Linked DNA regions of Nothobranchius furzeri. The protein of the gene in region 1 purifies or fractionates together with the protein of each later gene. This does not show direct contact. Links are inferred from orthologs where the notes say so. Each region holds a gene or a part of one and is shown in the gene's direction. Other genes may lie near its edges.

The links. Proteins that work in one complex are often made in the same cells at the same time.
Region 2: the proteins of katna1 (region 1) and katnbl1 purify together in Homo sapiens (affinity purification with mass spectrometry; 3 studies listed by BioGRID and IntAct, counting the BioPlex papers as one, with this or other methods). This does not show direct contact. The link is inferred for Nothobranchius furzeri from reciprocal best matches to the Homo sapiens genes KATNA1 and KATNBL1.

Annotation. Positions count from the first base shown.
Region 1 is NC_091742.1:28,014,765-28,018,264, reverse strand, and holds part of katna1 (katanin p60 ATPase-containing subunit A1), read left to right. Parts: intron 1-632; coding exon 633-738; intron 739-806; coding exon 807-965; intron 966-3,500. UniProt on the Homo sapiens protein: Catalytic subunit of a complex which severs microtubules in an ATP-dependent manner. Microtubule severing may promote rapid reorganization of cellular microtubule arrays and the release of microtubules from the centrosome following nucleation.
Region 2 is NC_091742.1:12,533,161-12,537,146, reverse strand, and holds the start of katnbl1 (KATNB1-like protein 1), read left to right. Parts: upstream 1-1,186; 5' UTR 1,187-1,324; intron 1,325-1,803; 5' UTR 1,804-1,814; coding exon 1,815-1,928; intron 1,929-2,069; coding exon 2,070-2,107; intron 2,108-2,295; coding exon 2,296-2,578; intron 2,579-2,661; coding exon 2,662-2,777; intron 2,778-2,848; coding exon 2,849-2,899; intron 2,900-3,033; coding exon 3,034-3,123; intron 3,124-3,986.

The DNA of each region.
Region 1 (3,500 bases):
CGGTCGTAGGGGGCGCCAGCTGCTCTAGAGGGCATCTGCGGTCGTAGGGGGCGCCAGCTGCTCTAGAGGGCATCTGCTGTCGTAGGGGGCGCCAGCTGCTCTAGAGGGCATCTGCTGTCGTAGAGGGCTCCAGCTGCTCTAGAGGGTATCTGCGGTCATAGGGGGCGCCAGCTGCTCTAGAGAGCATCTGCGGTCGTAGGGGGCGCCAGCTGCTCTAGAGGGCATCTGCTGTCGTAGAGGGCGCCAGCTGCTCTAGAGGGCATCTGCTGTTGTAGAGGGCGCCAGCTGCTCTAGAGGGTATCTGCGGTCATAGGGGGTGCCAGCTGCTCTAGAGGGCATCTGGCATCTGCTGTCATAGAGGGCGCCAGCTGCTCTAGAGGGTATCTGCGGTCATAGGGGGTGCCAGCTGCTCTAGAGGGCATCTGCTGTCGTAGAGGGCTCCAGCTGCTCTAGAGGGCAACTGCTGTCGTAGAGGGCGCCTGCTACTCTAGAGGGCAACTGCTGTCATAGGCGGCACCAGCTGCTCTAGAGGGCAACTGCTGTCGTAGGAGGCGCCAGCTGCTGGTTCACGTTGACTATGGTTACTCCTCGTGTCATAGCTGTCAGATCTAAGTGATTTCCACTCTTTTTAGGGATGACATTGCAGACTTGGAAGATGCTAAAAAGCTCCTGAAGGAAGCTGTCGTGCTGCCCATGTGGATGCCAGCTTTCTTCAAAGGCATCCGGAGACCTTGGAAGGTGCTGCCTTTCGCTGCAGAAGTGTTTTATCAGATCTGAGTTTACATGGGTGTTCTTCTCTTCCTCAGGGGGTGCTGATGGTGGGACCTCCAGGGACCGGAAAAACCCTTTTGGCAAAAGCAGTTGCTACTGAATGCAGAACCACGTTTTTCAATGTCTCGTCCTCCACTCTTACCTCCAAGTACCGAGGAGAATCGGAAAAACTTGTACGTCTCCTGTTTGAGATGGTGAGCTGGACTACTTTGTGTGTGTGTGTGTGTGTGTGTGTGTGTGTTTGTGTGTGTGTTTGTGTGTGTGTGTGTGTGTGTGTGTGTGTGTGTGTGTGTGTGTGTGTGTGTGTGTGTGTGTGTGTGTGTGTGTGTGTGTGTGTGTGTGTGTGTGTGTGTGTGTGTGTTTGTGTGTGTGTGTGTGTGTGTGTGTGTGTGTGTTTGTGTGTGTGTTTGTGTGTGTGTGTGTGTGTGTGTGTGTGTGAGGGAGGGAGAGGGCGACCGACCCACCCACCCACGTCTTGCCCATGTATGTCTGATCTCTGAATTGTGTGTACTGAAACTCTAATTTCCCTCTGGGATTAATAAAGTATCTTTGAATTGAATTGAGTTATTAGACAGAGATGGACGTAGACGGTTAATATTTCGCAAGTGGTAGTAAGCTGATGGAGTGACAGAACTGATATGGGAAAGGTAGGTCAGGGTGCTGTCTGGAATAATACAAAGGCTCTTACCCTGATCTAGATGTGACAGTAGTGTTTCTGTTGCCACTGAGAGCTATGTGGCCTCCCCGCTTCAGTTTTGTCAGAGTTCAGCTTCAGGAAGTTGGAAGAAAGCCAGGTCCTAATGTCTGCAAGGCATTTGGTGAGTGACGATGGTGGAAGCATTGTGGATGATGCAGTTGAACTATAAACTCCTACAAACTCAGCACGGATTTTAACACTAACTCACCTATCGGACCAGGGCCTTACCATCCATCACTTAGAGAGATCTGTGGTGGATATAAAAAATGATCCTATCTGAAGGTGGAGGCAAAAAAAAAGATGTTTAGGCACCGCCAGACCGTGTGGCACCTCTGATCTCCCACCGCTCGCCGTTAGGATCTCAGCAGTACTCAGACCGGCAAGCGTGCGTGGAGTAGGGGGGGTCTTGTTCTGTGTGAACACGAAGCGGTACAAGTGATAATGCTGCTGGAATTCATAATGGTATCCTCCTCAGCAGCAGCGCTGCAGGTGCTCTCCATGTCCAACATGTGCGTAAGCCAGGTCCTTAGTCAACTTAAAGTTGCGCACATTTTTCCGCTAAGTTTTCTTTCATGAATCCCAAAGTTTGCGTGGAAAACTTTTTGTGCGTTTTGTGCGTAAGCAAGCTTGATAAATGAGGGCCCTGGTTTTTAAGTGTCTTAATGGGCTTGGACCTTCTTATCTTGCAGAACTGCTTTTACTGTATGAATCCTCTCGGCCTCTTTGCTCCTCTGGCAGTCGCCTCCTTGTTAACCCAAAGGTTAGGACACATACCCACAACGAGGCGTCTTTTGAGTTTTATGGCCCTCGTCTCTGGAACAGGCTGAAGACCCACCTTTGGGTCGGGTCGCGGGGGCAGCAGCCTAAGCAGGGAGGCCCAGACTTCCCTCTCCCCAGCCATTTGGACCAGCTCTTCCGGGGGAATCCTAAGGCTGGGGAGAGGGAAGTCTGGGCCTCTCGTCTTAGGCTGCTGCCCCCGCGACCCGACTCCGGATAAGCAGATGAAAATGGATGGATGGACTTTTTCAACCAAGTATCGCAGCGTCTCCTCTTGTTCAGGAGTTGTGGACTGCGTCATCCCCTTGGTGAAGCAGGAATAAGAGCTCGGATCAAATGAGGCTTGGATGGCCGAGTCGGCACACTGACCCACAGTCACAGGGTCTACAGGACTCACAACGTTACACAACTGTTGAGGGTCTGCCTTCATGAGAAAATTACTATGCAGTAATTTCTCCAAAAGTCTGTGCCAAAACCGCCCTGAAGCGTACATAAAAAGGCATATTAAAATCAGTGCCAGCAACAACTTCATTTCCCATGATTCCCTGAGCCGGAAGCAACTTGATGACGTCACCAAAGCGACGCCGAACCCCGGAACCTCCACACGTCCCGCCCGCTGGTTGGAGAATCTAAAGCCCAGCATAGAACGAAACTTAACCCTCTTTTGTCCCAGTCTCAGCCGATGTGAAGAGACTTCTGCTACGGCTCCGGACGCACGTCAAGAGGCCGAGCTGCTGAAAAGCAGCGGAAAACCATCAAATCTGCTCAGCGCGAACGACGAGGGACGCCTTGGTTTGCTCAGAGAAGAGTTTTTTTTCCCTTTTTCTCCTCTATCTCCTTTTTCTCCCGTTACTCTTAATAGTCCGAACAAGCGATCAAACTGCGCGATTGCTTCAAATTAACAGACGGCTCTTTCTCTCCTCCGTACCAAAACATGCCATCGGATCATCTTAAGAGTAAGCCGTTTTGTTTTTGTCATTGTTTAATATCTTAAGTTATATGCTGTGGCCAGGCTGACAAACTATTAGATGTTTCATTTGTGATTGATCTTTGGTTTTTCCTTGAGCTTTGTGAAGCGGGTTTAAGGTTTTGAAGTGTTTTGGTTAAGTTTTACTGTGATTGAACGTGCTTTGGAAGTTAAAGTGAAAGTTGCTCACGTACACACACACACACACACACACACATTCTGGTTTTCAGTGTTTGGGAGGACACACGCGTCCCACATACATTTTGGGTCCTTGCTCCCTCAAACAAA
Region 2 (3,986 bases), about 15 Mb from region 1:
AAAGCTGAAATAGCAGGAAATAATACAGTTAAAGAGCAGATTGTAGAAGAAAGTAGTCGAGTGTGGAAAGTGGTCAGTGTGTCCTCCAGCAGTCTAAGCCTATAGCAGCATAACTACAGAGATAACTCTGGATAACCTAGCCTTTTAGATGGAGGCATGTTGGAGGCAGGGCAAGGGAGAGCCGTCTTTACCGACTGTACACTACACCTCCCTCTACTCCCCCACTTGTCCAGATCTAGGTTAACATCAGATTTTACCCATAGGCCCTATCAAATAAAAATGTTTTAAGCCTAGTCTTAAAAGTAGACAAGGTGTCTGCCTCACAGACTAAAGCTGGGAGCTGGTTCCACAGGAGAGGAGCCTGATAACTAAAAGATCTGCTCCACCTGAATCCGAGGTTCGACAATCCGCCGTACCCTCCTCTCCAGAACCCCAAAATAGATTTTACCAAGGAGGCCCAGGAGTGTGATCTCCCTGTAGTTGGAACACATCTTGCGGTCCCCCTTTTTAACCACCCCAGTCTGCTAATCTAGTGAAACTGCCCCCATGTTCACGCGATATTGCAGAGCCTCGTCAGCCAACACAGCCCTACGACATCCAGAATCTTAAGGAACTCCGGGCAGGTCTCATCCACCCCTGAAGCTTTGTCACCCAAAGTCCCCGGACCATTCTTCCTCACTAGAAGACGTGCTGGTGGAATTGAGGGGGTCTTTTATCTCATCTGTAAAGTTTATAGACAAAAGACAAGATTTAGGAATGCATAATAAGATGAATGAATTCAGTCTTCTTGAAAAAACTCTCGTTTGTAGTGTTATGTTTTGTTTTCAGTGTTTTGTTTTTTCCCTGTTTAATTCTACATTTTTAAATTGAACTCTTCTTGTTTTGCTCCTATTTGGATTAAAAAGGAGTCTGTTTTAGTACATTTTAAAGCAGAATTTTTTTCTGAAAGTATAAACCATATTAGTTGTATATTTGTCCATTTAAAAAAAAGTTTATGACGGGGGACATATTTAGATGCAACACCCTACCTGTTCTTAATCGAGCTGCATTATGGGCTACTCCACGCTAGATGGCGCCAGAGTGGAGACTTCTTTAGTGACTGCTGCTGTGTAAACGTCCGACAGTCGCCGCTAAAACTACAGAAACTGTGGCGTTTCTTTGCCAAAATATATCCCACAATCCCTCCTCACCGGGTGGTGTATTCATTTGAATGGTAAAACAGACTTGCTAACACGGACGGGAGGTGAACTTTCAGTTTTACCTGGTTTTCTGCTTTCGGATTTACACACCCGAGGGGACCTGTTGGATTTAACAAAATGAACCGGTTGGTATTTAAATCTACCATGTAAATGGAGAAATATACGCTTTTCTTAATTACCTAGCATGAAGTTGTAAATTGCCTGAGGTGGAATGCTAACCCTTTTAGCGCGGCCCAGCTAGTTACTTTCCACGTCTCGGTGTTTTCTTCATAATTAAGCTAAATGCTATTAGTCGAAGCTAAAAATACCGTCATTGTTGACGCATGAAGCAGCTTTATAGCTGAGAAATGCAGTGTTTCCATTTTCCTAACTTGATTGTTTCATGTTTAGCGAAGAAAAAAGTAGCTTTTAACTTTTGCTGCAGTATATTGAGCTTAAAGCGGCCAATGCCTCAGAGTTTATTCCAAGTTAAGCGTCTGTTTATCGATCTGGATCACTCTGCACCGTAGCTCGGAGGCTAGCTAAAAGTTAGCCAACATGTTAAGTTAGCGTTGGAAACAGCAGTTTTATTATCAATGATTGTCCTAATTTTCTGTCCCAACAGCGTCCCTTATTATGGCATTTGGTAAGCATGTTTGCCGACAGAAAGCCTTTAATGTCAGCAACCATAAATCCAATGGCTTTCAGCGAACCTGTCTGCACGTTTCTACTGAAAAGATCATGAAGCAGGTATGAAGCCACAGAACCAACAGCTTTGTTGTATTAAATGCAGTACTTGTTTGGTTTAGTCCTGGTGACAGTGAAGTGCCGTTCAGTGGTGTTGTAGTAGAGACTGTGGGAGTGGCCTCATCCCCTATCCTTTTGTTTTAGGTGGAAATTAAAAATAAGGAAGAATTAGATAAGAACAGGTGAGTCTCTAATCCACATGTGGGGTTCATCCAAATGTGATCATTCACTCATTCTGCCACAGATCACCCCTTCCAGCCACGGGAACCTTCAGACATCTTTCCATGACCATATATCACAACGTCTGTGACCCTAAACGTTGTTTTTAAACTTTCACGGCCTGCGCTAATCTCCATGTCTCTTTTGGCAGATTTCCGGTGCATTTCAGAAAGCAGAGTCCAGGCAAAGTGAAGCGGTTGTCGTTTTGCAAGAGGAAGAGTTGTTCGTCAGTGGAGGTGGGCACAAAGCTTCACTGCAGGTTGTCAGATGTAGGCCGTCCCCGTGACCCCGGCATGGCCAACAAAGAAAATGAGCTGTCGTGCTCCGATGATGTGCGGAGCATTCGCTGCTATGATAACCACGGGCTGCTGGTGAACTCTGCAGAGGCTTCCAAGATGGCAGGGGCCAGCTCTAAGTACAGCGACTTCACTGAGGTGAGAAACTGATCTGAAGCTGAGTGTTAGTTGGAAAAACACCACCCTGTTTGAGCCGTCGTTGGTTGTTTGTTTCTGAGTAGTTATCGAAGGAACACGAAGCTATGTCTCGCATCCTTTTTGGAAGAGATCTTCGACTTAAAGTTGCACTAACATTATGGCGAAGAAATGCCAGTGAATTGGTGTCCTATCTAATAAGGTAAAAGCACCACTCACATTTGGTGTTTAGTGTTTATTTGTCAGTTACATGTTATTGTTTTTGCTTCCCAGAATACAAGACACAAGCGTTCTGCTCGACTGCTTACCGGTCTTAACAAACAAGTAAGTCACATTTGGCTTTTACCTCATGGTTGTTCATTCTAAAGTTTTAAGTTTAATATTTACTATGCCTCTGAAAGGTGGGCGATTCACGTGTCTGCTTTCCATCGCATGTGGTTTTTTTTCTGTTTCATCAGCCTTCAAACTGAAACGCCGTGTTTGTCACTTGGCTGCTGTGTTGACCTCATGCCTCACGTCAAAGTGGTTCTCTCCAGTAAACATGAAGAGTAAGTATATTATTCTGACACCTTAGCTTGTTTGAGCTAGCTTGTGCCGTCAGAAACATTCAAACCGTTTTTAAAAGAGAAGTTGAGCTTTTAAGTCAACTAAAGTGCGCAACTCCGCACTCGCGCTGATGAAGCGTAAACCAAGCTTTAGAAACCAGCCTGAACCTGCTGATGTGGGAGGAGTCTCTCTCTCCCCTACTCAACTACATTCTCTCTCTCTCTGTCCCGGGCTCACCTACGGTGCCATTATTATCGGCTCTAGCAGCGCTGTGTGTGGGAACATAAAACCGGGAAATCAACCTGAACATGCAGCTTTGGCAGCTGTGGAGTTGGGCTCAGCTCTGGACGGTACACCCCACCCCCCTCCCCCGCGCTGGCTTTTGCTGCCGCCATAACACGGGGAAAACCCCGGATGTAAAAAATAGTTGCACTACTGATCCTGGATCAGTCAAAAACCGCAGTTTTGACGCTCACGTGATCGTGCTGTTTGAAATCGCAATTTCGGTCCAAAAACGATAGATCGTTCAGCCCTAATTTCGGTCCACCAGTAAAACGCTTTCTGCGTATACTCCTCAATAAAACGTTCATATTTAAGAGTTTTTCCGTGAAGTAATCTTCAAGTTGCTCTGTGTGCTGCTAGATATCTTCAGCTCTCTTTGTGTTTTGGGCCCATTGGCTGTGCTGTTGTCAAAAGCAGCATCCTGACCAATCACAAGCTTACGTTCTCTGTCTTGTTCAACGGGTGTTTAGAAAAGTGTGTTTGACTCCGTCCGTCCGTGCGAGGGCTCTCCAGCAGGCTTGCAATGGCGTTGAGTGGGCTTTAAGGTTGCATTTGTGACTGAATGTCATATAATCAGGATATC